Linked DNA regions of Macaca fascicularis. The protein of the gene in region 2 interacts with the protein of the main gene of each other region in a pairwise test. Links are inferred from orthologs where the notes say so. Each region holds a gene or a part of one and is shown on either strand. Other genes may lie near its edges.

Region 1 (3,965 bases), on a different chromosome or scaffold from region 2:
GAGGAATTTGGTTTAGCTTTAATTAGTTGCTGTGAATATTTCTGAGCCAACTCTGGAAAGCATTTATCTGGAAAATAGTTTCCACTAAAATATAAGCTGGATACAGGGTATCATTTTCCTAGGAGGGTTTGTATCAGTTAACACAGTTATACATTCTCTCCAGCCCTCTGGATGACTTTTGCCACAAGCCCATCATCGTCATATTGGTTAATTACTTATTAATCACAATTCAAAATTCTATATTGAGGCATCTGCATCCCGATCCAAGTTCTAGCCTCAGGACCTCAGAGCATGAAGATTTTCCGGAGAAAAGATAACGCTTACAGGTTATTCTCATACAGGCAACTGATGCATTTTTCATCCGGCAAGTTTTCATAAAAACAAGCTGAAAAATACCAGACAAATGAAAAACAGACTTCAGCAGTTCCATGCTGCTTCCTGAGTAACTGAAGAATGTGCTTCTTGTGGTTAAAATGAGGGATCTGTTTAATATGGATGAAATAGCAACACTCCAGGCATTTTCATTGACATTTCACTGTGACTTTTTGAACTTAGGAGTGCGAATACGAAAACCTACTCTTTCTTTCTGCTGTGCGGAGCCTGCACAATCTGCAGAAAGATTGCAGAGCCGGGCCAGGCGAGGTAACAGGCTACGTGGGGTTCATGTGCTCTCTGGTTGTTCCCTCCCCCTGTTTGTACTTCATTTCCATTCACACGGCTGCACTTCCCAGTTTTCCAGGATCTCTCCTCTGAAACCAGGCAAGGGTTTGTTCCCAAATCCCACCCATTGCCTCTCCAGCCCTGGACTTGCTTACTGGACCACACATAGGTGGTGGGCATTGGTGACTTGTCCCTAGGGTCAGGGGATCAGAAACTGCCCAGAGGGGCTGGATGGAGCTCGGCGGCACTCAGGGCACAATGGAGAGCGGATTCAAAGGGCAAAGGAGCCGAGGGAAGCCCCTCTGCCCGAGCCTCCCCAGCGCCGGCCGGGCTCCGCTCCGGAGCAGCCCCGCCGTCTGGCAGAGACATGCTGTTTTGTTTAAATCCTCCACATTCTTTGCCATTTCCCCATTGGCCGGATGGGGCTACCCTCCCCGCCGCGGCCGCTGCTGATGTCAGCCTTGCTCGCGCTCGCTCTTCCCGCACCCACCTCCCGGGCCCAGGCACACTGCATCGGCGCGGACGCTCCGGCCCCGGCGAGGTGGCTGCAAACTCGCGGGCACGCACGGCGCCCGGGGAGCCAAGGGACTCGGGGGAGGGGACGCGCGCGGAAGGCGCCAGCTTCCTCCCGCCCGCCCCTAGCAGCCGCGAGCTGAGGTTGGAGGCGCCCGGGGCCCCAGCCGGGCAGAGCCGAGCGGCGGCTTCCCTTTTCTCCCCGAGCCGAGCCCCGGAGCGGCGCGGGGACCGGCCCTAAAAAGAGCAGGAAATCTTGTTTACCGCCCGCGGAGAGGAGCCGATCGAGCCTTTGTCTGGAAAGTCAGCATCTCCGGCTCCGGCTGCAATGTGTTCCTGGTGACATTAGCATCGGGCAGACCCGCCGGAGGAGGGGGTTCGCCAGGTTCCCTTCTGCTTTCGGAGGCGGATCGAGCGGGTGACTTTTGTGCATTCGTTTTAATTTTTGGAAATCTCTCTTTTTTCCTCCCTCGCTCGCTGCCGGGCATGTCCTGATCTGGCGGCCGCTCCTACCACCCTGGGCTGCCGAGCAGAGCCGTCACCAGCGGGTCTCCCTCCCTACCTCTCTGACTTTGCAACACCGCGTTCTGGGAGGACCGGCCTCGGCGAGGGAGGAGGCGGAGGAGCTGCGAACACCCGGACCCAAACCCTGACATGCTCTGGGGCGGAGAGGAGGAAGCCAGGAGCTGAGCTTGCCGCGGGGGCTGCTTCGCCCGCCGGCTACGAGCGCTGGGCTCCGGGCGCCCTGCCCTGCGCCTGGGCGGCAGCCTTGCTGGTCTGGAGGGCGCCCCCAGCTTCCCGCCCCGGGGATCCGCGGCCGGCAGGACCATGCTGCTGAAAGAGTACCGGATCTGCATGCCGCTCACCGTAGACGAGGTAAGCGCCGCGCCCGGCCCGGCCTCGCCCGCTCCGGGACCGCCGCCGCCGCCGCCGCCTCCTGGCCGGCGAGCCCCGGGCTAGCGGCAGGAAACCCAGGTGGACGTTACCCCGCAAGCCCGAAGGCTGGAGGAGAGGAGGAAGGGGATTTGCGGCTTCCACTTGTCACCCCAGCGGGGGAGGGCGGCGTTGGGTGGGGCGGCGGACTCCGGGTGGGCTCTTTGGGGGCGCCCAGAATCCAGACTGTTGGGGATCACAATGAGCCAAAGGGAGTGGGTGCGCCCCCTCCTTCCAAATAAGAAAACGAATAAAGCAAACCCAAGAGCCCCCGGCGCGCGCTGTAGCTAGGGTTTGGGGGGCACCCCGTCCTGGCCGTGGGCCCATCTTCCCCTCCCCGCCCTCTGCGGTCAGGTCGGGGTGCAAGGAGGAGCCTTGCGCCCTCGGGATCTGCACGCCCAGAGCCCCGCGGGGGGCACCTCGGAGCCCTTGGGGGAGGTCCCTGCGGGGCCCGACTTGTCGCCGTCGCCGCGGTCTTGGGCGCCGCTCCCGGCACGTCCGCCCTTCGAGGCTCGGGACCCGGCTCTGTCCTTTCGCAAACCGCCTGGCTCGGAAACTTTCTGCGTCTCTTATTTCTTCCGCCGCGGGGAGCGTGGTCGGCCCGCGAGCCGGGAGCGGCTGAGGCTGCGACGCGGCCACAGGAGGGCGCTCCAGCACGTGGTGCCGGGGCAGCGGCTGCCGGCTGGGGGCGCCGGGCGCGGGGCGGGGGCTCGTCCTCCAAGCGCGGCTTTGCTGCCCTTTTCCCGAACCTGCGAAGCCACGAGCCCCAGCATTCAGGAAGTGGTGACTCAGACTGGATTATTCCAGCCCTGGCTTCCCTTTCTTCCCCTTCTTCCTGCCCACCTTTGTGGTGATTTCACGACTGCTGAGCGCCTCTGTCCAGGGACAGCGAGGGAGCCCAAAGCCAAGCACGGCAACGTGAAACTCACTAGTATGGTTTGGTGTGGCAACACACATGAAATCAGCCACCCACACCGTCTTTATATTTAAATCTGGTGCCTTGAAACTATCAGATATGTTATTGAGCCACCACTTGGTGAGAGGGGCGATGCGCTTTGGGAGAGAAAAAGATCCTTAACTGAGAACGTGGCTGTGCTCACAGGGGCTGTCCGTATTTGCCATCTGGACCAAGGGTTAAGGCAAGACCCAAGTACAATCCAAGACAAAATCAAAGTAGCTGCAAGTTTACAAAACGCATCAGGGGTACACAGGCTGCCAAGGAGGGAGAGATCAGCTTCCACCAGAATGATCAACCGAGTTTTGGAGTTCTTTGGCATTTGAGGAGGTAGCATTTAAGTAGGGTCTGGAAGGGTGGATGCCAGATGGGTAGACAGAGATTCAAGTTGCATATGACCTTGTAAGTGGAGAAGCAGGACATAGCTTTGTGGAGAAAGCGAAAGGCAAATGAATGGGACTGGTTAATAGGTCTTTCCAGAAAAGGTGGATATCGTCCCACCTTCTGGGCAGTTGAGCTAGAGTAATTCACCTGGGAGGCGTGGATCCCTCTACTCTATCTCCTAATGACCTTGTTTTTTGATATGAGTTTGGATTCTAGGAGCAATGTTGGGACTGCATGGAATACACAGAAAATTGCAGGTGATAATCAAGAAAAGAACCAGTTCTAGAAGCTTCTCTACTACCTACAAAATCTCTTTATCCTAGTTAGTTCCCTTTTCAGGCTTTCTGAAACACTCAGGCAGATGCTTTTCCCACTTTTGTTTTTGTACCGAAATATCCACAGGTATAACATGGGGTAATTACATTTGAATGATATAGGTGGAGGCCCTTCCTTCCGTCCGTCCGTCCGTCCTTCCTTCCTTCCTTTTTTCTTTTCTTTTTTGTTTTTTTGAGATGGAACC
Region 2 (3,377 bases):
AAAGTGCTGGGATTACAGGCTTGAGCCACCGCGCCCGGCCAATTTTTGTATTTTTTAGTAGAGACAGGGTTTCACCATGTTGGCCGGGCTGGTCCTGAACTCTTGACCTCAGGTGATCCACCCGCCTCAGCCTCCCAAAGTGCTGGGATTACAGGCGTGAGCCACCGCGCCCAGCCTGGTTGCCCATTTTTATAGTTATTTCTTGATAATACGCTAACCTAGGGGTAGATTATTCATGCCTCCCCTTTTTAGACCATAAGGGGTAACTTTGTGACGTTGCCATGGCAGTTGTAAACTGTCATGACGCTGGTGGAAGTGTAGCAGTGAGGACCACCAGAGTTTACTCTTGTGGCCATCTCGATTTGGGTGGGTTTTAGCCAGCTTCTTTACTGTAACTCATTTTGTCAGCAAGATCTTTATGACCCGTACCTTGTGCTGACCTCCTATCTCATCCTGTGACTTAGAATGCCTTAACTGTCTGTGAATGCAGCCCACTAGGTTTCAGCCTTATTTTACCCAGCTCCTATTCAAGATGGAGTTGATCTGGTTCAAACGCCTCTGACTCTTGGAAGGGGCGTGGGTGTCAGTGAAGGCATGAAGCGGCCCCTCCCTGACCTGGCCTGCTTTCTTCCTCCTCCTTCACTCCTGGGCCACCTGCAGTTGCTGGTTTGTCTTTTCAACAGACATTTCTGAGGCCCTCAGAGGTGCCGGGTGCGGGGGCCTCCTGTGTTTTCTGCACCTGATGCTTTCCTGCCTCTGTGGTGGTCATGTTCACAGACCTCTTCTCCCCCCCTTGTCATACCACAGGTGATTCTCCTAGGTCACTGGCTGCTGACAACCTGGTAAGTGACTCTGTGGGTATCTCTGTGTCTCCTGCGGTCTCAGGGTCTGTGTCAGCCGGGTCAGGTCCTGGCTCTGCCATGTTTTAGCCGGGTCACTTTGGGCCAAACAGCTGTGCCTCTCAGGTCATCTGTACAATAGGCATAAGGATTGCACACCCTGCAGGAGCTGGGAGGGAGATGAGGAAGAGTGCTCATCAGAGCTCCCCAGGGCCTGCCCCGCAGTGAGGCCTCAGCATTGCGGCTTGATTTTCACCTTTACCATCACTTTTAATCTGTTGAGCTTCTGGAGACATTTCTCTGCCAAACCAAGACTGGAAACCCCTGAGCTCACATGTGCACTTTGTAAACTTTGCAGTGCAGCACACAGGGCAACAGCTGTGAGTAATATGAACAGTAGCCATCATGGTTCACGACCTTGAGAAGCAGGGCCAAAATACAGATTTCTTAGTCACACTTCCCCAAGATTCTGAGTTGGTGATTCTGGGCTGGGACCCAGGCACCTGCTTTCTTTTTTTTTTTTTTTTCTGGAGACGGAGTCTCGCTCTGTCGCCCAGGCTGGAGTGCAGTGGCCGGTTCTCGGCTCACTGCAAGCTCCGTCTCCCGGGTTCACGCCATTCTCCTGCCTCAGCCTTCCCGAGTAGCTGGGACTACAGGCGCCCGCCACCTCGCCCGGCTAGTTTTTTGTATTTTTTAGTAGAGACGGGGTTTCACTGTGTTAGCCAGGATGGTCTCGATCTCCTGACCTCGTGATCCGCCCGTCTCGGCCTCCCAAAGTGCTGGGATTACAGGCTTGAGCCACCGCGCCCGGCCACCTGCTTTCTTAAAAGCAAAAAATAAGATGGTTTATTCAAAGACGTATTGAACCAAATGGCACTTCACACCTGCCTTGTACATGTCTTCTGCATGTTACACTGCAGTGAATGTCCCATAAATCTAGGAAGCATTGGTAATAAACGAAGTAGACTTGGTCCCTGTCCTTCTGAGTCGTCTTTGCAGCACAGCAGGGTGAGCAAGAGCATGGCCTCTCCAGCCAGACTCCAAATCCCAGGCTTACTGCTCAGCAGCTGTGTGACCTTGGGCAAGTTACTTAACCTCTCTGTGCCTTAGTTTCCTTATCTCTAAAGTAAGGATAACAGTAATACTGCCTTCCTAGGGTTGTTAATATAAATGCACATAAATGAGTTAATTTAAAGCACTTAGAACCATGCCAGGTACTAGCAAGTGATCTGTGTTCACTATGATTTTGATTGGATTGACAAGCAAATAAGTAAGTCAACAATGTCAGTTAGTGGCAATACCCTAAAAAAGATAATAGGGCGGAGCTTGTGTTAGGAAAATGACAAGGTTGTACTTAGCACTGGTGGGTGAGGGAAGGAGTCTCAGGGTGAACATTCAAGTTGCCACTGAATGACAAAAGGAGGGCCAGGTGTCAGGGTAGAGGGTGCCCGCCACACAGGGCAGTGGCTGGGAGGTCAGCAAGGGCGGAGCTGTGTCCAGGATCCCACGGGCCCCTTAAGTCCTGGTGAAGAGTCTGCATTTTATTCTAAATGGGACAGAAAACTGTTGGAGGATTTTTAGCAGAGGAGTGACAGCATCTGACTACATTATGGGTTGCTGTTTAGAGAACAGAGTGGCAGTCAGGACACTGGCACAGGGTGGCTGCGGCTGTCATCTGGCAGGAGAGGGAGGTGCTTTGGATCTACAGGGACACAGCCAGATCCAGGGTCTGAGTGGGAGGCAGAGCCCATAGGATTTGCTGGCACACAGCCAAGTGGCCTCGAAGACTATGGTGTGTTCTGGGAGGAGGCCCTGAGACCCCGGAGCAGGAGGGAGGTGACCTGTGGGGTGGTGGTCGCCTGACAGGACTGAGCTACCTCTTCCTACAGGGGCTGCATTGTATTCTCGGGCTCCTATGCCTGGGCCAACTTCACTGTCCTGGCCTTGGGTGTGTGGGCTGTGGCTCAGCGGGACTCCATCGACGCCATAAGCATGGTGAGCCAGGGTGGGGGAGAGGCGGCAGGGTGGTGGAGAGGCGGCAGGGTGGGGGAGAGGCGGCAGGGTGGGGGAGAGGCGGCAGGGTGGGGGAGAGGCGGCAGGGTGGGGGAGAGGCGGCAGGGTGGGGGAGAGGCGGCAGGGTGGGGGAGAGGCGGCAGGGTGGGGGAGAGGCGGCAGGGTGGGGGAGAGGCGGCAGGGTGGGGGAGAGACGGCAGGGTGGGGGAGAGGCGGCAGGGTGGGGGGCTGCAGCACAGGGTGAAGCACAGCCTGGCTCTGCCACCCCGTCCCGTCCCAATATTCTCCCTTTTCCTTGGGCTGCCACTTCCCATTGTCTAAAGCCTTGTTCATCAGCCTCCTGGGCTCCGGCCCATGCCTGTCTTCAGGAGCCCAGCCTGCTGCTCTTGTCTGGCTTAGAGAACCCCAAGTCTGCCATTATCTCCCCGAGGAAAGCCATGGGGTGGGTCCCACCGGTGCCTCAGATTAGCCACTTCGCCAGAGCGGCAGAACATCCCCTGTAACCTGCCCCTGGGGCTCTCTTTT
Region 3 (3,500 bases), on a different chromosome or scaffold from region 2:
AGAAGAATCACTTGAACCCAGGAGGTAGAGGTTGCCATAAGCCAAGATCACAGAATTGTACTCCAGCCTGGGCGACAACAGTGAAACTCCGTCTCAAAACAAACAAACAAAAAAACCAAAAAAACATAAAACAAACAAACAAAAAAAAAACAATTGGGGCAAATGGCCCTAGTTTAAAAAAATGAATTACGATCCCACTGAAAAATAATGTAAAATATGTTTTATATAAATGAAAACAGTTCCTATGTGATGAGTCAAGAAACAGGCTGGGTGCGGTGGCTCACGCCTGTAATCCCAGGACTTTGGGAGGCTGAGGTGGGCGGATCACCCAAGGTCGGGAGTTCGAGACCAGCCTGACCAACATGGAGAAACCCTGTCTCTACTAAAAACACAAAATTAGCCGGGCGTGGTGGTACATGCATGTAATCCCAGCTACTTGGGAGGCTGAGGCAGAGAATCACTTGAACCCTAGAGGTGGAGGTTGAGGTAAGCCAAAATTTCACCACTGCACTCCAGTCTGAGCAACAAGAGCCGAACTCCGGTTCAAAGAAAAAAAGAGCCAAGAAATAATTTGTCTGCTTTTGAGTCCTGTCATAATGTTACTCAAATAACTTCTGGTATTTTCAAGAAACAAACTAGCTATAAAACTACGATCCCCAATGCTAAATTTTTTTTTATTTTTTTGAGATGCAATTTCACCCTCTTGGCCAGGCTGGAGTGCAGTGGCATGATCTGTCACTGCAACCTCTGCCTTCCAGGTTCAAGTGATTCTCATGCCTCAGCCTCCCAAGTAGTTGAGATTATAGGCACACGCTATCACGCCTGGCTAATTTTGTATTTTTAGTAGAGACAAGGTTTCACCACGTTGACCAGACTGGTCTAGAACTCCTGACCTCAAGTGATCTGCCCACACTGGCCTCCCAAAGTGTTGGGATTACAGGAGTGAACCACTGCACCCGGCTCTCAATGCTAAACAGTTCCTTAAAACCTCGAAGCAGAGAAGACTGACTTGAAGCAGGTAAGTTTGGGAATGTCCTCACGAACTACAGGTAGGTCTGTCTCCTTGTTAGCCACAAAGTCTACAGACTATGGTAAGATTATGGCAGTGGTTCATGGTTTTGCCCAGGTTATGCACAGTCCATTTTGCTCTGCTTGCAAAGTACTCAGCTGTCAGAAGCAGAGCAAAATGGACCGTGCATAACCTGAGCAAAGAACCAGCGCCATAATTTGACAATGCGTAACCTTGCAAAGAACCAGTACCAAAACCTTTTGCCCAGGTTATGCATGGTTTGCTTGCCCTTGGCTATAGATTTTACTCTAGTCTCACTTAGTACCACTCTACACTCATACATTCAAAGTATACTGATATTTTAGGTGCGTATTTTCACCAGTTCTCACTGGGTCTCCCGGTGAGCTATGGTTAAAGTGAGCAATGACGACCTCAAGTACTCAACTGTCATAAAGGAACAGGGAAAGGTGAGTTCTGCTTGATATGTATGATGGCAGATTCTGGCTGATGCATCAACATACTTTTGTGAGCTGACACGGTATGATATGAGTCGGAAATTTCCATCTGGAGGAATAAATGACAAAACTCTTTCAGATTCCCAACGCTTGAACCGGATGCAGGGGTGGAAGCTGACGTCATCCAGAAGCCTAGGGTTCTGTCAAGAAAACAGAAGACAGCCGTGTTCATAGAGCATAATGAATATGGGAACTGTACTTAGATACCTTGACAAATCAATATGTTCCCTGAAGATAAAGCAGTCATGGAAGAGTTTATGACCACATCTACACAACCTTATAGTTTCACAATGCTTTAAAGTTTGTAAATATTTTATGTACATTATTTTATTGAATTTCAATAACCATAAAGGAGAAAAGGCAAGTAGTATTATTTCCCTTTAACAGATTAAAAAACTGAGGTTCAGAGGACTTAAGGTCAGAACAAACTGGTGACAACACCAGAAGTCAGTTCTCTTAATTGTTCCTAGCAGTATGTCATGCTGACTCTAAAATGATACAAAAGACCAATGTCCTTTCATATCAGCAAAGCAAATAATTACTCAGTAAAAATGATACTGGATATTTGCAGAAGCCAGCCAGCCAATTTTAAGCCCTTTCTAGCACACTCAGGCAAAGACCTCCCTTAGCCTTTCCATAAAGACCACGCTCATCATGTAAGTGCCTGTCTTAGGAAACTCTGCTAGGAATATTTCTGAGACAATCCTTTGCAATCTAAGATGCAAACTTATCTCAATATTTATCATTTCATTTAGTACTTCACATGTATTAGGCATTCAAGGGGCTATAAAACAGGAGAATAAAACTTACCATGAAAGAAAGGGAGAGATCGGGCATTCCAGATAGTTTAATGCAAGCATCAATGACCCCCTGAATTTCTGCAAAGACTGTAGATCCTGAAGAAAGAAAGAAAAAGGAAGATAACATCAACGGAATATGAGTCTTAACTAGAGCTATCACTATATCTTTTTATTTTTATTTATTTATTGTTTTTAGAGACAGAGTCTTGCTCTGTTGCCAAGGTTGGAGTGCAGTGGCACGATCACAGCTCACTGCAGCCTCACTCCTGGGCTCAAGTAATCCTCCCGCCCTAGCCTCCCGAATAGCTGGGAATATAGGCGCGTGCCATGACACCTAGCCCAACAATCACTATATTTAGAATAATGGAGATACCCTCTGGGTGTCAGACTTACTGAAGCTTTACATCTCTATTAACAGGTCAGGGAACAAGGTCCATACCTAACTCTGGTTGGAATATGATAATTTTTCTTTTTTTTTAAGAGATGAGGTCTTACTAGCTAGTCCCAGCTGGCCCCCACAGTAACTGGGACTACAGGTATGCCACTGTAGAATATAATTTTTTTTTTTTTTTTTGAGACAGGGTCTTTCTCTGTCACCCAGGTTGGAGTGTAGTAGTGCTATCACGGCTCACTGCAGCCTCAACCTCCTGGGCTCAAGCAATCCTCCCACCTCAGCCTCCCAAGCAGCTGGTACTACAGGCATGCACCTCCATGCCTGGCTAATTTTTGTATTTTTTTGTAGAGACAGGGTCTTGTTACATTGCCCAGGTTGGTCTCGAACTCCTGGGCTCAAGCAATCTGCCTACCTCAGCCTCCCAAAGTGCTGGGATTACAGGTGCGAACTACCATACCCAGCCAGAATATGCTAATTCTAAGGAAAATTAAACTGTCTCCTTTATGGAGCCAACCCTGTAAGATGACTGGATATGAGTTTAAAACATATGAGGCCAGGCACAGTGGCTCATGCCTGTAATCCCAGCGTTTAGGGAAGCCGAAGTGGGTAGATTATCTGAGCTCAGGAGTTTGGGACCAGCCTGGGTAACATGGCGAAACCCCGTCTCTACTAAAAATACAAAAAATTAGCCAGGCGTGGTGGTGTGTGCTTGTAGTCCCAGCTACTTGAGAGGCTGAGGCAGGAGAATTGCTTGAACCCAGAAGGCGGAGGTTGCAGTGAGC
Region 4 (4,058 bases), on a different chromosome or scaffold from region 2:
CTGCCCCAACCCCACAGAAACTGAAGTGTGTGGACCCTCCCTAGGAACCGGGGTTCCAGGGAGGATTTGAGGTCACGCTCAAGATCATAAAGAGGCTCAGCGTGGACTCCTTCTCATGACCAAAATGGAGCCAGAGTTCCCAGATAAGGGCAAACGTCACCTCAGGCCAGGCTCCACTCTCAGCCACCCCTTCTGCCTGGCAGAGTTCACTTCATCTCCTCCTGTCAGGAGAGGGGAGGTCACACTGCCAGGGCCTTTGCCTCATTCTTCTCCAGCTCCTTCTCTAGAGGAAGAGTCATGGCTAGCCCGAGGCAGTGTGGACCTGGAACAGGCATAAACTGTGCTACTCTTTGGTGCCCAGTGCCACCTTTCCTAGCCAGGAGCAGAGCAGGATTATCACCTTCTGTGTCCCGCAGCTCGGCCGTGTCTTAGTACCCCACCCACCCCTGGAACTCAGGAACCCTAAGGAGGGGCATAGGGTTGCTTTCCATTCACGCCTAGGGCAGCACAGGGAACTGTGCCACAGGCCCCAAGACAGGCAGATGGAGGATGAAATACACAGGTCCCAGTCCCTGAGGCCACCTTACAGTGCCCGGCCCCCAACCCTGTGAAGAAGGTCAAGGCAGAGGCAGCAGAGGAGGGATGGGAGGATGCCTCGTGTGAGATGGGGTACAACTGGTGTCCCTTCTGAAGCTGACATCTGGCCTCAGCTACGACTCTGGCGCCAGCGGGCTCGCAGGGGGCTCACCCGTGACACCCTTTGTCCCGGCTGCCTCCCCACCCCTGCGGGCCCTCTGCTCCAGCTGGCATGCCTCAAGGGCGCTTCGCGCCTGCTCCTTTGGCCCCTGGCTTGCAAGCAGCGGGGCCAGCACGTGACCCGAGCGCTAAAGGGGGCAGGGGATGGACGGATCTTGACCTTGCCATCTGGCCCCTCTGGAAAATCAACAAACGTTTGCGCCTCTAACATCCAGGCCCCTGAGAATGGTCGCGAGGAAGATCTGTCTCGGACTGCAGCTGGGGCCTTCGGATCCAGAGGAAACCAGGGCTATTCTTCGAGGGTAGGAGGGGGAGGGTCGCGGGGTCCGCGGGGAAGGTGGCCCCGCGCGAAGTCGCCACCGCCGCGCCTCGCCCCGCCCCGCCGGCCGAGACCGAGTCCGCCGCACCCCATAGGCAGAGGCCACCCTCCCCGCCTCCCCGCCTGCTCCGCGCCCGCCCCGCCCCGGCTCACTTTAAAAGTTTACTCTGGCCGGGACGCTGGGCGATGCGAGCCACTGCAGCCTACGTCGGGATGCTGCGCCTGGGGAGAATGTGCGCCGGGAGCCCGGGGGTGCTGGGGGCCCGGGCAGCCCTCTCTCGGAGTTGGCAGGAAGCGAGGTTGCAGGCTGTCCGCTTCCTCAGGTACTGACCCCCCGCGGGAAGAGAGGGGGCGGGGCAGTTCCCTGGGAGAGGAACTTGGAGGTCCTGCCGAGCTTCGGAAGCCCCACCTCTGGACGAGTGCACCGGGGGGAAGGTACCCGCCCCTCACCCGCCCCCTACGAGCACCTAGGCAATAGGAAAAGCTGGCTTGGCCTGGTGGACTTGGCAGGGGGCTTTGGTTGGTGGCTGCAGGGACTTCGAGTTCTGGTCCAAGACTCTCGATTCTTTCTCCTTTATGGGCACAGAGGGCAAGGAGTGTGGGCTTTAAGGAGAATATTCCGATGGGGAGGGGCCAGGGCCAAGGCCTGGGCTGTACGCCCAGGCCACTGCCTCTGAGTTGGAACCCCTGCATGGGCAAACTTGGGGATCAGCCCCATTCTCCCCGACCCAGGCCACTAAACTTAGCAGTCTCCTCTCTCCTCATCAGCTGCTCACTAACATGGCTTTTATTCTTTGCTGCCTGCTCCTGGGCCTATTTTCTTCTATCCTCAGTGCAAGGGGTGGGATGGAAACTGGCAGAGGATTTCAGTTCCCAGTAGTTTCACTGCCTCTGCAGCAGCACAGTAAGTAAAGCTGCCTTCCGGCGCGACCAGTCCCTGGGAGGACCGCCTGAGATGGCAAATGTGAAAGTGCTTGAGTCATAGAGAGCAGGCTGCCACCAATGCTATCAGTGCTGTTAGCTTCAGCAGCACCACTGGGGAGCCCTGTGCACCACTGAGCCTGTCCTACCACTCAACTAGGCCAGATACTAAGTCAGTGGTCAGGACACCACTTTCAACAACATCAGATGGGGTGTGGGTCTGGACGTGGAAAAAGGAGAAGTCAGAACAAAGCTGTGTCTCAGAGAACTAGATTTGTTTTTGTTTTTAAAAAGGCTAAGCAGGAAGAGTTGGAGGGACATGCAGACTCCTTTTTTGCTGGAACTCCGAGATCACAGTTTTTGAACTTGCTGATTCCTGAATGCTAGAAAGCATGCAACGCCTTAACATCACTCTGCCTAATTTGCTGAGAAAACTAAGTGGATCAAGGCTGGTCAGTAGATGGGACTGAGATGAGGACAGTGGGGTCCTCTTCCCAGTGACCCTGGGAAGTCACTCACTACTTCCCAGGGTCTCCCTAGACAAGTTCAGCCCTCCCCTGATCCCCTAGTCTCTTAAGCCTCTCCTCTGGACTCATGGGTGCCCCCTCAGGCTGGGAGGACTCTAAGGAAAGTTACTCCCCACCGTGTGCATATTTTATCATACTAAATCAGACCAAAGGGGAGTCTCTCAGCCTACTCTGGCTCAGGAGGCTGCCTAATACAAAACAAACAAAGTAATAAATAAATAATAAATCAGGCCACATGGCAACATTCCTGACCTTTGACTTTTTTGTCTATAAACAAAATAGGTCACTTACCTGCTACAGCCCTGAGGCCTCTGAGAGCACCAAGCTTCAGAGAAATTCTTATTGCTGTGTCAGGAGGAGACTCGTTTATCCAGAGAGATGATTTTCTGAGTGTTTGGCCTACCTCCTTTCTGCCCCTTCCACTCCCTTGTGCTTGTACCCTTATTGGCTAACTGTGGTGGTTTTACCTGATTTCTCTCCTACTTTCCACTTCAGAAGCCTCAGGGCTCAGGCCGGGCATGGTGGTTTATGCCTGTAATCTCAGCACTTTGAAAAGCAGAGGTGGTAGGATCACTTGAGCCCAGGAGTTCAAGGCTGCATTGAGCCATGATCATGCCACTGTACTCTAGCCTGGGCGGCAGAGCAAAACCTAGACTCAAAAATAAAAATAAAGGCTGCGTGGGTGGCTCATGCCTGTAATCCCAGCACTTTGGGAGGCCCAGGCGGGCGGGTCACTTGAAGTCAGGAGACCGGTTTGGCCAACATGGTAAAACCCCGTTTCTACTAAAAATACAAAAATCAGCCAGGTGTGGCCTGTAATACCAGCTACTAGGGTGTCTGAGGCAAGAGAATTGCTCCAACCTGGGAGGCGGCGATTGCAGTGAGCCAAGACTGCACCACTGCACTCCAGCCTGGGTGACAGAGCGAGACTCCATGTCAAAAAAATAAAAAATAAATAAAATAAAGGCCAATCATGGTGGCTTAGTCCTGTAATCTCAGCACTTTGGGAGGCTAAGGTGGGTGGATCACTTGAGGTCAGGAGTTAGACCAGCCTGGCCAACATGGAGAAACCCCATCTCTACTAAAAATACAAAATTGGCTGGGCACGGTGGCACATGCCTGTAATCCCAGCTATTAGGGAGGCTGAGGCAGGAGAATCGCTTGAACTTGGGAGGCGGAGGTTGCAGTGGGCTGAGATCATGCCATTGCACTCCAGCCTGGGCAACAAGAGCGAAACTCCGTCTCAAAAAAAAAAAAAAAAAAAGCCAGACGTGGTGGTGCATGCCTGTAATCCCAGCTACTTGGGAGGCTGAGGCAAGAGAATTGCTTGAACCTGGTAAGTGGAGGTTGCACCACTGCACTCCAATCTGGGTGACAGAGAAAGACTTCGTCTCAAAAAAATAAAAATAAAATAAAAATAAAAAAAGAAGCCTCAGGGCTGAAACCATCAGCAAACATTCCTGAGAACAGATTCTGTGTCAAGTGCCTAGCACGTGCAATGGATATAGAGGCCACAAAACTCAGTCCTCACCCTG
Region 5 (2,641 bases), on a different chromosome or scaffold from region 2:
GTGGTGTTTTCTTAACTAATCACAGGCTGTTCCGACATGTTCCCCGCCCCTTCACTCTGCAGAGGGGCCTGCAGAAACTGGTCCTGAGGTGACACCACAGCTCAGCTCCCCAGCACCACTGTGTCTGACACTGCAGGAGAGGCTGCTGGCCTTCGAGCGGGACCATGTGACCATCCCAGCAGCCCAGGTGGCTTTGGCCAAACAGCTGGCTGGCGACATTGCCCTGGAGCTGCAGGCCTACTTTCGGAGCAAGTTCCCGGAACTGCCCTTTGGGGCATTTGTGCCTGGGGGGCCGCTGTATGATGGGCTGCAGGCAGGGGCCGCGGACCATGTGCGTCTCCTGGTGCCACTGGTCCTGGAGCCGGGCCTATGGAGCCTGGTGCCGGGCGTGGACACTGTGGCAAGGGACCCTCGCTGCTGGGCCGTGCGCAGGACTCAGCTTGAGTTCTGCCCCCGCGGGAGCAGCCCCTGGGACCGCTTCCTGGTTGGGGGCTACCTCTCTTCCCGCATCCTGCTGGAGCTACTCCGAAAGGCGCTGGCTGCCTCTGTCAACTGGCCGGCCATTGGCAGCCTTCTTGGGTGCCTGATCTGGCCCAGCATGGCCTCAGAGGAGCTGCTGCTCGAGGTGCAGCACGAGCGCCTGGAGCTCACCGTGGCTGTGCTTGTGGCAGTCCCTGGGGCCGATGCTGACGACCACCTCCTCTTGGCCTGGCCCCTGGAGGGGCTGGCGGGGAACCTCTGGCTGCAGGACCTGTATCCAGTGGAGGCTGCAAGGCTGCGAGCCCTGGACGACCATGACGCTGGGACCCGCCGTCGGCTGCTGCTGCTGCTGTGTGCTGTCTGCCGTGGCTGCTCGGCCCTGGGGCAGCTGGGCCGGGGTCACCTGACCCAGGTGGTCCTACGTCTGGGGGAGGACAATGTGGACTGGACGGAGGAGGCCTTGGGTGAGCGCTTCCTGCAAGCCCTGGAACTGCTCATCGGCAGCCTGGAGCAGGCCAGCCTGCCCTGCCACTTCAACCCCAGCGTGAACCTCTTCAGCAGCTTGCGTGAGGAGGAGATTGACGACATTGGCTATGCGCTGTACAGTGGCCTACAGGAGCCCGAGGGGCTGCTCTAGGTGGGTGGGAATGGGTGGCTGGCGTGTTTTCTAATGCTGGGAAGCTGCGCCCACCTCCCTTCCGGGGATTTGAATAGTGGTTTTTCTCTAGCTTTTAGCCAGAACAAAAGAGGGTACATTACTTAAACCCAGGGCATCGGGATGTGCTTGGGCTATGGTGGCCGTAAACCCTGAGCCCAGAGAGCTTGGGTCACTGTCACCTGAGTACGGCTGGGCTGGCTCAGGCAGCTTGGAGTGCCAGCCATTTCTGCAAGCACCTTTTCAGCCCTTGGGGCCAACCCCAGGACCTTGGCTCTGTCCATCACCAGCAACCAATCCACCGACAGAATGTGGTTTCTGCCATCCTGGGCAGAAGCTAAAGGCCAACTTCACATTTCTGCTGAGAGAAGGCGACTTACCGCCTTCTCCGGCCCCAGCTCCAGGCGTTTTGAGGCCTCTGGTGCCTGGTGGTAGGTATGGTGTGTTTGTTCTGTCCCCCGGGCACTGGAGTCACCTGGTGTCCCTGAATGACAGCTTTTTGGCTGTTAAAGGATGGCGTTTTCCTGCTGTCTTCTGTGCGTTTAGTTTTCTTGTTGTGTTCTCGAGCCCTGGAGCAGGAGCTCAGTGTGACTTGCTACCCACCTGATACCTCAGGGCAAGGCCCTTTTTCCCTCCAGCCAGGTGAGTGTTTTCTTCAAGCAGCTGAGGGCCCTGGGGGAGCTGAGGCTCTGTGCTGCGCCCCCAGCCCACAGCTGGGGCATATCACTGGAGCTCTTCCAGGCCCCACTGGAGAGCAGAGGGCCTGATCCCCCACCAGAGGGGTCCGGTGCGCAGAGCCGGCCTCCCAGTGTGCCAAAATGAACTGCTCTCAGCCGATGGCTGTATTCTGACTTTGAAGCCCGTTAGAGGTAGCAGGGGGGCTAGAGGAGGGAGATTCCACCTCCCTTCCCAAGTGATCCTCCTCCTGCCTCTGGTATCCTTCCTGCTGAAATGAAGCTCTGCTTCGAAGAGGTGAACAAGAATAAAAGAAAATTCTAACGTGTAACTCAGGCTGGATAAGGGGGTCTTGGCGCTTTCACACGTAGCTGTTGGGGGTTTTCTGTAAGTCCTGTGGCTTGTCCTGGCACTTAGGCAAGGGTGCTTGAGGTCAATTGGAGGTGGTAGAGTTTACTTTAAAAAGTAGCATCTTGGCCGGGCGCGCTGGCTCAAACCCATAATCCCAGCACATTGGGAGGCCGAGGCGGGTGGATCCTGGGGTCAAGAGATCAAGACCATCCTGGCCAACATGGTGAAACCCCATCTCTACTAAAAAGATAAAAATTAGCTGGGTGTGGTGGCGGGTGCCTGTAGTCCCAGCTACTTGGGAGGCCAAGGCAGGAGAATCGCTTAAATCCGGGAGGTGGAGGTTGCAATGAGCCGAGATCACACCACTGCACTCCAGACTGGCGACACAGCAAGACTCTGTCTCAATAAATAAATAAATTAATTAATTAATTAAAAAGCATTTTGGCCAGGTGCCGTGGCTCACGCCTGTAATCCCAGCAC
Region 6 (3,500 bases), on a different chromosome or scaffold from region 2:
GTCTTGATCTCCCGACCTCGTGATCCGCCTGCCTCGGCCTCCCCAAGTGCAGGGATTACAGGCGTGAGCCACCGCGCCCGGCCTAAGAGGAACAGGTTTTTTTTAGGGGAAAGGTGGGGAGGGGAGACACTTGGGAATCCATTTTGGGCACAGTTGACATATATAAACTCCAAGAAGGCACAGTCTTTCTTGTTCTATGCTGTATCCTCAGTGTCATACGCAGTGCCTGATATTTGTAGTAGAACACTACAAATATCTGTGAAAGTATGTAATGAATAGAGTCTAACAGAGAACCTTGGAATCTTTTATATGTGGAATGGTCAATTTGATGAGTCAAGTTGGCTAGGCTATGGTGCCCAGTTGTTTGCCAGGCACATTGAGTCACGCCTGTAATCCCAGCACTTTGGGAGACTGAGGCAGGGGGATTGCTTTGAACCCAGGAGTTTAAAGCCAGCCTGGGCAACATGGCGAAATCCCATCTCTATAAAAGACACAAAAAATTAGCCAGGCGTGGTGATGCACGCCTGTAGTCCCAGCTATCCAAGAGGTTGAGGTGAGAAGATTGCTTGAGCCCATGGGTCAAGGCTACAGTGAGCTGTGACTGTACCACTGCGCTCCAGCCTGGGTGACAGAGTGAGACCATGTCTCAAAAAAACAAAAACCAACTAGTTTAGATGATCCTGTGAAGGTATTTGTAGATGTGATTAACATTTATAATCAGTTGACTTTAAGTAATGGATGTTACCCTACATAATGTGGGTGGGCCTCATCCAATCAAGTAGAGGCATTAAGTGCAAAAACAGGTTTTCTGGGAAGGAATTCTGTAGCAAGACTGTAACATAGAAATCCTGCCTAGACTTTCAGCCTGCTTATCTACCTTATAGATTTTATTTATTTATTTTTTTGTGACAGGGTCTCACTGTCACTCAGGCTGGAGTGCAGTGGCGTGATCTCAGCTCACTGCAAGCTCTGACACCCGGGCTCAGGTGATTCTCCCACCTCAGCCTCCCGGATAGCTGGGACCACAAGTGTGCACCTCCACGCTTGGCTGATTTTTTTTTTTTTTTTTTTGAGACAGAGTCTCACTCTGTTGCCCAGGCTGGAGTGCAGTGGCACAATCTCGGCTCACTGCAAGCCCCGCCTCCCAAGTTCAAGCGATTCTCCTGCCTCAGCCTCCCGAGTAGCTGGGATTATAGGCATGCACCACCATGCTCGGCTAATTTTCTATTTTTAGTAGAGACGGGGTTTCTCCATGTTGGCCTGGCTGGTCTCGAACCCCCAACCTCAGGTGATCCACCTGCCTCGGCCTCCCAAAGTGCTGGGATTACAGGCGTGAGCCACCACGCCCGGTCGATGCTTGGCTGATTTTTTAGTCTTTTTTTTCACAGATGGAGTTTCGCCACATTGCCCAGGCTGGTCTCGAACTCCTAGACTCAAGGGATCTGCCCTTCTCGGTCTCCCAAAATGCTGGGATTACAGGCATGAGCCACTGCGCCCAGTCCTACCCTATAGATTTTAGATGTGCCAGCTCCCACAATTATGTGAGCTAATTCCTTAAAGTAAATAACCTTCCTTTTTTTTTTTTTTTTTTTGAGACGGAGTCTCGCTCTGTCGCCCAGGCTGGAGTGCAGTGGCGTGATTTCCGCTCACTGCAAGCTCTGCCTCCTGGGTTCATGCCATTCTCCTGCCTCAGCCTCCCGAGTAGCTGGGACTACAGGCGCCTGCTACCACACCTGGCTAATTTTTGTATTTTTAGTAGAGATAGGGTTTCACCATGTTGGCCAGGCTGGTCTTGAACGCCTGACCTCAGGTGATCCACTCGCCTTGGCCTCCCAAAGTGCTGGGATTATAGGCATGAGCCACTGTGCCTGGGCCATTATGTACTCTTTACGTTCATTTTTCACTTATCCTTGGACAAGCAATGAAATACATTCGGTGCTATTTTGTCTTTCACCTTTGACAATGGATTCAATCTCTTTCATGGCAGCTTCACTTTCAGCTTCTGCAAGTTTTTCATTGATTTCCATTATTTCCATGAGAAATTGCCTGTCCATTTCATAATCTGTCCTTTCAGGAATCTCTATTCCATGGAGCTTTAGCTATTGGGGCAGAAAGCAAGAAAAATAAGTTGAAGAAACTATGGGCAGAGTAATCTAAATCCTACTCATCCGTTAGGAAATAATACCTCTAATAGAGAAAACTGGAACAGTCCCAGTAATGAAAGACTAAGGGGTATCAAAAGGTTGGACTGAAACATAAATGCTGGAATGGGATTTCCACTTAATGCTACCTGAAACTGTGTGACCTTGGTGTGATCTTGGGGTAGTCATCCCTCCACCCAGAGGTTGAACTAGATGTTTCTAAAGATTCTATTCAATTACAAAATTTTCTAGATTGTAAGATACTTTTTTTTTTTTTTTTTGAGATGAAGTCTCGCTCTGTTACCCAGGCTGGAGTGCAGTGGCATGATCTCAGCTCACTGCAACCTCTGCCTCCTGGGGAAGCAATTCTCTGCCTCAGCCTCTCAAGTAGCTGGGATTAGAGGCACCTGCCACCACGTCTGGCTAATTATTTTGTATTTTTTGTAGAGGCAGGGTTTCACCACCTTGACCAGGCTGGTCTTGAACTCCTGACCTCGTGATCCACCTGCCTCGGCCTCCCAAAGTGCTGGGATTACAGGCGTGAGCCACCATGCCTGGCCTCTTAAGATACTTTTGAGAGGGGAAAATAAAAAAAACACAACAGAAAATGACTTTTAACTAAAAGCTACCAACATCAAATCCTTGAAATTCATAGAAAAAAGCTAGAAAATAACAATTTAAAAAATGCTGTTGAGGCAAGTAATATTCACAGAGAAAATTATACTTGTGCTGTAAGGCTAAATACTATTGGGTCCCTGGACTCTTTTTTTTTTTTGAGAGGGTGCAGTAGTACAATCACAGCTCACTGTAGCCTCGACCTCTCAGGCTCAAGTGATCCTCCTGCTTCAACTCCAGAGTAGCTGGGACTACAGGTGTATGCCACCATGCCCAGCTAATTTTGGTATTTTTTGTAGAAATGGGGTGTCATCATGTTGCCCAGGATGGTCTTGAACTCCTGGGCTGAAGTGATCTGTCCACCTCAGCCTCCTAAAGTGCTGGGATTACAGGTGTGAGCCACCATGCCCGACCTCAAGCACTCTTCTGCTGAATAAAGGGGACGTGGCTGTCCTATGTCATAATGGGCATCAGGACTTCATGCACAAAAGGGTTGGGAAATCACCTTACAAGGTACAGTCCTCTGCTCAGGGGGGCGAGGAGGGTCTTATAGGCGTCATTCACCAGGGTCGAATGCTTCTCTGAGAAGTCCTTTTCAGTCTGTTAGTGGAGATGAAGATAGTACTTTACCATCCAAATTACAAAGTTTTTTTTTTTTTTTTTTTAGACAGAGTCATCCAGGCTGGAGTGGCAGTGGCATGAACTCAGCTCACTGCAACCTCTGTCTCCCACGTTCAAGTGATC
Region 7 (4,283 bases), on a different chromosome or scaffold from region 2:
ACTTGGAAGTCAAGGGAAGGGAAGTTGTACCAAGGTATGTTTTTTTGTTTTAAAAAAGCTCCCCTCTGTTACAATCAGGATTCAGAACCAGTGTTCCGAAGGTAAAAATCTTTCCACATTATAGTTTTCTGATTATGTCAGACTCATTTAATACCAAGTGTGTTCGTTTTTATATCTCTGATTAGCAGGGTTTTTTTTTTCCCCGAGACAGTCTCATTCTCACCACACCCAGCTGTGGTTAACATATTGATTGATGCATTGTAGACCCTAAATTTGTGTTAGCGACCCCACAGTGGATCACTGAGTTAAAGTTTTATTAACAGTGCCAGAAACGGTGGCTGACGCCTGTAATCCCAGCGCTTTGGGAAGCCGAGGCAGGTGGATCACCTGAGGTCAGGAGTTCAAGACCAGCCTGGCCACCATGGTGAAACCCCCGTCTCTACTAAAAATACGAAGTTAACCTGGGCATGGTGGTGCATGCCTGTAATCTCAGCTATTCGGGAGGATGAGGCAGGAGAATCGCTTGAACCCCGGAGGCAGAGGTTGCAGTGAGCCAAGGTCGTGCCACTGCACTCCAGCCTGGATGACAAGAGCAAGATTCCATCTCAAAAAAACAAAAAAGTTGGCTAGGCACGGTGGCTCAAGCCTGTAATCCCAGCACTTTGGGAGGCTGAGATGGGCGGATCATGAGGTCAGGAGATCGAGACCATCATGGCCAACATGGTGAAACCCCGTCTCTACTAAGAAAATACAAAAAAACTAGCCGGTCAAGGTGGCGGGCGCCTGTAGTCCCAGCTACTTGGGAGGCTGAGGCAGGAGAATGGCGTGAACCCGGGAGGCGGAGCTTGCAGTGAGCTGAGGTCCGGCCACTGCACTCCAGCCTGGGCGACAGAGCGAGACTCCGTCTCAAAAAAAAAAAACAAAAAAAAAAAACGTTTTATTAACAAACTGTAGTTAGTTGTCCACCTGTCCTTAAACTTGCCTGTAACTTCTCCTTAACTCTAGGTTCTCCTTTTTGCTCCTAACCTTTGACGCTTCTTTTTTTCCACAGCTGTCATGGAAATGATGAGTCAGAAGATTCAGCAGCTGACAGCCCTGGGAGCAGCTCAGGCTACTGCTAAGGCCTGAGAGTTTTTGCACAAATGGGGCAGAGGGACACGGTTTTGGGCATGGCTTCCTGGTGCTGGGAAGGGTCTTGTGTTTAATGCCAATAAATGTGCCAGCTGGGCAGAATGTTGGTCTTTTCTTGGATTAAGCAAGGGACTGGTGATGAGATGGGGGGGTGGTCGAGAGTGTGGGCCCCGCCCCAGAGCCTGATGCACAGGGTTGATGCGGTGCTCCTCTTGAAGGCTCCACCGCAGGGCCCTTTGACCAGCTGGAAGAAATCCTAGGCTGGGTGTGAGCTGCTGCTCACTCTGCGGAGCTGGTTGCCAAGGCAACGGTTGGCAAGCGGAAGTGGAGCTCCGCTGGCGCTTTCCCTTCCGGGTCGGCCCTCCTGCCTCCCTACCGGGAGAGTCTTATGGGATACCGCTTCCTGCGCGGTCTTTTAACGCTGCTGCTGCCGCCGCCACCCGTGTATACCCGGCACCGCATGCTCGGCCCAGAGTCCGTCTCGCCCCCAAAACGACCCCGCAGCAAACTCATGGCATCGCCCCGAATCGGGACGCACAATGGCACCTTCCACTGCGACGAGGCACTGGCATGCGCACTGCTTCGCCTCCTGCCGGAGTACCGGGTACAGTCCGCGAAAAGTGACCCTGACACTGCGTGCATGCATGCCTCCAGGGTGGATGGCATTCCGCTGACAGGGTCCCTCCGATAGCGCGGGGCATCCCAAGCACCCTTCCTACCCGCCCTGTCTCCCTGAAGTCCAGCTTTAATCTCCTACCCGGCGACCTCTGGCAGCCCCTTCACCCCTGTGTACCTCGCAGGATGCAGAGATTGTGCGGACCCGGGATCCCGAAAAACTCGCTTCCTGTGACATCGTGGTGGACGTGGGGGGTGAGTACGACCCTCGGAGACACCGATATGACCATCACCAGAGGTAGGTTCTCAGATACCATTTATTTAACTTCCTTGACCTCAGCTTTCCTCTGTGCTCCAATTCAGCCATCCACTGCAGTGGTCCGCGTCAGCGAAAATAACTGCCTCATTGTTGAAATCAAACTTCCACTAGGACTACACCATCCTTCCGCCCTGCCTGTTCTTCACCCATCTCCTTGGCCTGGGACCTCCCTTGGTTCTCAGGGAGTCCCTCAGGCCCCTTATCTCATCTCCTTCCTTAGCCAAGGCTTTTTTCCCACCAGCGACTTCATCACCCTGAAGGGATGGCCTGCCCCGCCCCACCTGTGGGCGTTTCTTGTCAGATGGAACCAGAGACTTGAGAAAAGAAATGAGACACAGAGACAAAGTATAGAGAAAGAAAAAGTGGGCCCAGGAGACCAGTGCTCAGCATACAGGGGACCCGCGCCGGCACCGGTCTCTGAGTTCCCTCAGTATTTATTGATCATTATCTTTACTATCTTTTAGAAAAAGGAGAAGTGGCAGGACAATAGGGTCATAGTAGGGAGAAGGTCAGCAGAAAGACATATGAATAAAGATCTCTATGACATGTATAAGTTTAAGGAAAAGTACTGTGCCTTGATGTGCATATGCAAACATCTCCATAAACATTTTCAGTGCATAAAGAGCAGCATTGCGGCTAGCACGTCCCACCTCCAGCCCTAGTCCCACCGCCAGCCCTAAAACAGTTTTCTCCTATCTCAGTAAATAGACTATCACATGGGGAGAAACCTTGGACAATACCTAGCTTTCCTAGGCAGAGGTCTCTGTGGCTTTCCGCAGTGTTTGTGTCCGTGGGTACTTGAGATTAGAGAATGGTGATGACTTTTGACAAGCATACTGCCTTCAGGCACTGGTTTAACAAAGTACATGCTGCACAGCCCCAAATCCATTAAACCTTGAGTCACCACAGCACAAGTCTCTGTAAGGACAGGGTTGGGGGTAGGGTTACAGATTAACAGCATCTCAAGGCAGAAGAATTTTTCTTAGTACAGAACAAAATGGAGTCTCTTATGTCTACTTCTTTTTTTTTTTTTTTTTTTTGAGACAGTCTCACTCTGTCGCCCAGGCTGGAGTGCAGTGGCCGGATCTTAGCTCACTGCAAGCTCCGCCTCCCGGGTTTATGCCATTCTCCTGCCTCAGCCTCCTGAGTAGCTGGGACTACAGGCGCCCGCCACCTCGCCCGGCTAGTTTTTTTTTTTTTTTTTTTTTTTTTGTATTTTTTAGTAGAGACGGGGTTTCACCGTGTTAGCCAGGATGGTCTCGATCTCCTGACCTCGTGGTCCGCCCGTCTCGGCCTCCCAAAGTGCTGGAATTACAGGCTTGAGCCACCGCACCCGGAGTATGTCTACTTCTTTCTACATAGACACAGTAACAGTCTGATCTCTTTTCCCCACATCACCCCAACTAAATAAACCCATCTGTGATTAATCCATTCTGGTGCCCTTGCTGCTGCACCTAACTGCTGGGCCCACATGATTGTGGCAGTTCATGACAGTTCAGATGTGTGAGGTGTTCTACTTCATCTACACCCTTCCAAAGGGAAATCCTTCTTGCTCAAGGGTAGCCCATTCCAATCCTTTTCTTCCCCGTGAAGCCTCTACAGCATCAAACTGATCGTCCCTGCCTCTTCGCAAAAGAAGTTGAGCATTTCTGCAGTCTCCCACCTCAAACATCCTCAGCTCCCTCCTACCAGTTAAGGGAAATTTCTTCCCTTCTGTTGGAGGTTAATCCTCTGTCCTGTTTCCAGTCTATTACTTTCCTCTGGGATTCCTTTTTCTTTTTTTCTTTTTTTTTTTTTTGACACGGAGTCCCCCTCTGTCATTGAAGCTGGAGTGCAGTGGAACGATCTCGGCTCACTGTAACCTCTGTCTTCCAGGTTCAAGCAATTCAACTGTCTCAGCCTCCTGAGTAGCTGGGACTACAGGCGCCCACCACCACACCCGGCTAATTTTTGTATTTTTAGTAGAGACGGGGTTTCACCATATTGGCCAGACTGGTCTCGCATTCCTGGCCTTGTGATCCACCCCCTCTCGGCCTTCCAAAGTGCTGGGATTACAGGTGTGAGCCACCGTCAGCCTATCCTCTGGGATGTCCTGTCACAGTTCCACTAGTGTCTCTGCCTCTCCTTCTCTACAGCCTAAAACTCTTCTCAAGTGTCTTCTATCTTGAAAAGAAACAAAGGTATAAAAACAAAACCCTTCTTCAATTATACCACACCA

What was found.
Region 1: the proteins of AGTRAP (region 2) and PITPNC1 interact in binary tests that used the Homo sapiens proteins (3 or more experiments, as listed by UniProt). The two-hybrid records come from large-scale screens. The link is inferred for Macaca fascicularis from reciprocal best matches to the Homo sapiens genes AGTRAP and PITPNC1.
Region 3: the proteins of AGTRAP (region 2) and AP3M1 interact in binary tests that used the Homo sapiens proteins (3 or more experiments, as listed by UniProt). The two-hybrid records come from large-scale screens. The link is inferred for Macaca fascicularis from reciprocal best matches to the Homo sapiens genes AGTRAP and AP3M1.
Region 4: the proteins of AGTRAP (region 2) and ACSF2 interact in binary tests that used the Homo sapiens proteins (3 or more experiments, as listed by UniProt). The two-hybrid records come from large-scale screens. The link is inferred for Macaca fascicularis from reciprocal best matches to the Homo sapiens genes AGTRAP and ACSF2.
Region 5: the proteins of AGTRAP (region 2) and MIEF2 interact in binary tests that used the Homo sapiens proteins (3 or more experiments, as listed by UniProt). The two-hybrid records come from large-scale screens. The link is inferred for Macaca fascicularis from reciprocal best matches to the Homo sapiens genes AGTRAP and MIEF2.
Region 6: the proteins of AGTRAP (region 2) and HSCB interact in binary tests that used the Homo sapiens proteins (3 or more experiments, as listed by UniProt). The two-hybrid records come from large-scale screens. The link is inferred for Macaca fascicularis from reciprocal best matches to the Homo sapiens genes AGTRAP and HSCB.
Region 7: the proteins of AGTRAP (region 2) and MYG1 interact in binary tests that used the Homo sapiens proteins (3 or more experiments, as listed by UniProt). The two-hybrid records come from large-scale screens. The link is inferred for Macaca fascicularis from reciprocal best matches to the Homo sapiens genes AGTRAP and MYG1.

Annotation. Positions count from the first base shown.
Region 1 is NC_088390.1:73,801,751-73,805,715, forward strand, and holds the start of PITPNC1 (cytoplasmic phosphatidylinositol transfer protein 1), read left to right. Parts: upstream 1-1,165; 5' UTR 1,166-2,001; coding exon 2,002-2,049; intron 2,050-3,965.
Region 2 is NC_088375.1:223,063,033-223,066,409, reverse strand, and holds part of AGTRAP (type-1 angiotensin II receptor-associated protein), read left to right. Parts: intron 1-807; coding exon 808-842; intron 843-2,728; coding exon 2,729-2,834; intron 2,835-3,377. UniProt on the Homo sapiens protein: Appears to be a negative regulator of type-1 angiotensin II receptor-mediated signaling by regulating receptor internalization as well as mechanism of receptor desensitization such as phosphorylation.
Region 3 is NC_088383.1:72,311,117-72,314,616, reverse strand, and holds part of AP3M1 (AP-3 complex subunit mu-1), read right to left. Parts: intron 2,421-3,500; coding exon 2,335-2,420; intron 1,665-2,334; coding exon 1,531-1,664; intron 1-1,530. UniProt on the Homo sapiens protein: Part of the AP-3 complex, an adaptor-related complex which is not clathrin-associated. The complex is associated with the Golgi region as well as more peripheral structures.
Region 4 is NC_088390.1:56,282,340-56,286,397, reverse strand, and holds the start of ACSF2 (medium-chain acyl-CoA ligase ACSF2, mitochondrial), read left to right. Parts: upstream 1-1,258; 5' UTR 1,259-1,261; coding exon 1,262-1,398; exon of another isoform or gene 1,399-1,403; intron 1,404-4,058. UniProt on the Homo sapiens protein: Acyl-CoA synthases catalyze the initial reaction in fatty acid metabolism, by forming a thioester with CoA. Has some preference toward medium-chain substrates. Plays a role in adipocyte differentiation.
Region 5 is NC_088390.1:18,393,063-18,395,703, forward strand, and holds the end of MIEF2 (mitochondrial dynamics protein MID49), read left to right. Parts: intron 1-62; coding exon 63-1,117; 3' UTR 1,118-2,141; downstream 2,142-2,641. UniProt on the Homo sapiens protein: Mitochondrial outer membrane protein involved in the regulation of mitochondrial organization.
Region 6 is NC_088384.1:22,920,497-22,923,996, forward strand, and holds part of HSCB (iron-sulfur cluster co-chaperone protein HscB), read right to left. Parts: intron 3,357-3,500; coding exon 3,267-3,356; coding exon of another isoform or gene 3,262-3,266; intron 2,100-3,261; coding exon 1,955-2,099; intron 1-1,954.
Region 7 is NC_088385.1:60,099,172-60,103,454, forward strand, and holds the start of MYG1 (MYG1 exonuclease), read left to right. Parts: upstream 1-1,483; 5' UTR 1,484-1,519; coding exon 1,520-1,735; intron 1,736-1,931; coding exon 1,932-2,044; intron 2,045-4,283. Other genes in the region: PFDN5 (prefoldin subunit 5), read left to right, coding at 1,052-1,128. UniProt on the Homo sapiens protein: 3'-5' RNA exonuclease which cleaves in situ on specific transcripts in both nucleus and mitochondrion. Involved in regulating spatially segregated organellar RNA processing, acts as a coordinator of nucleo-mitochondrial crosstalk.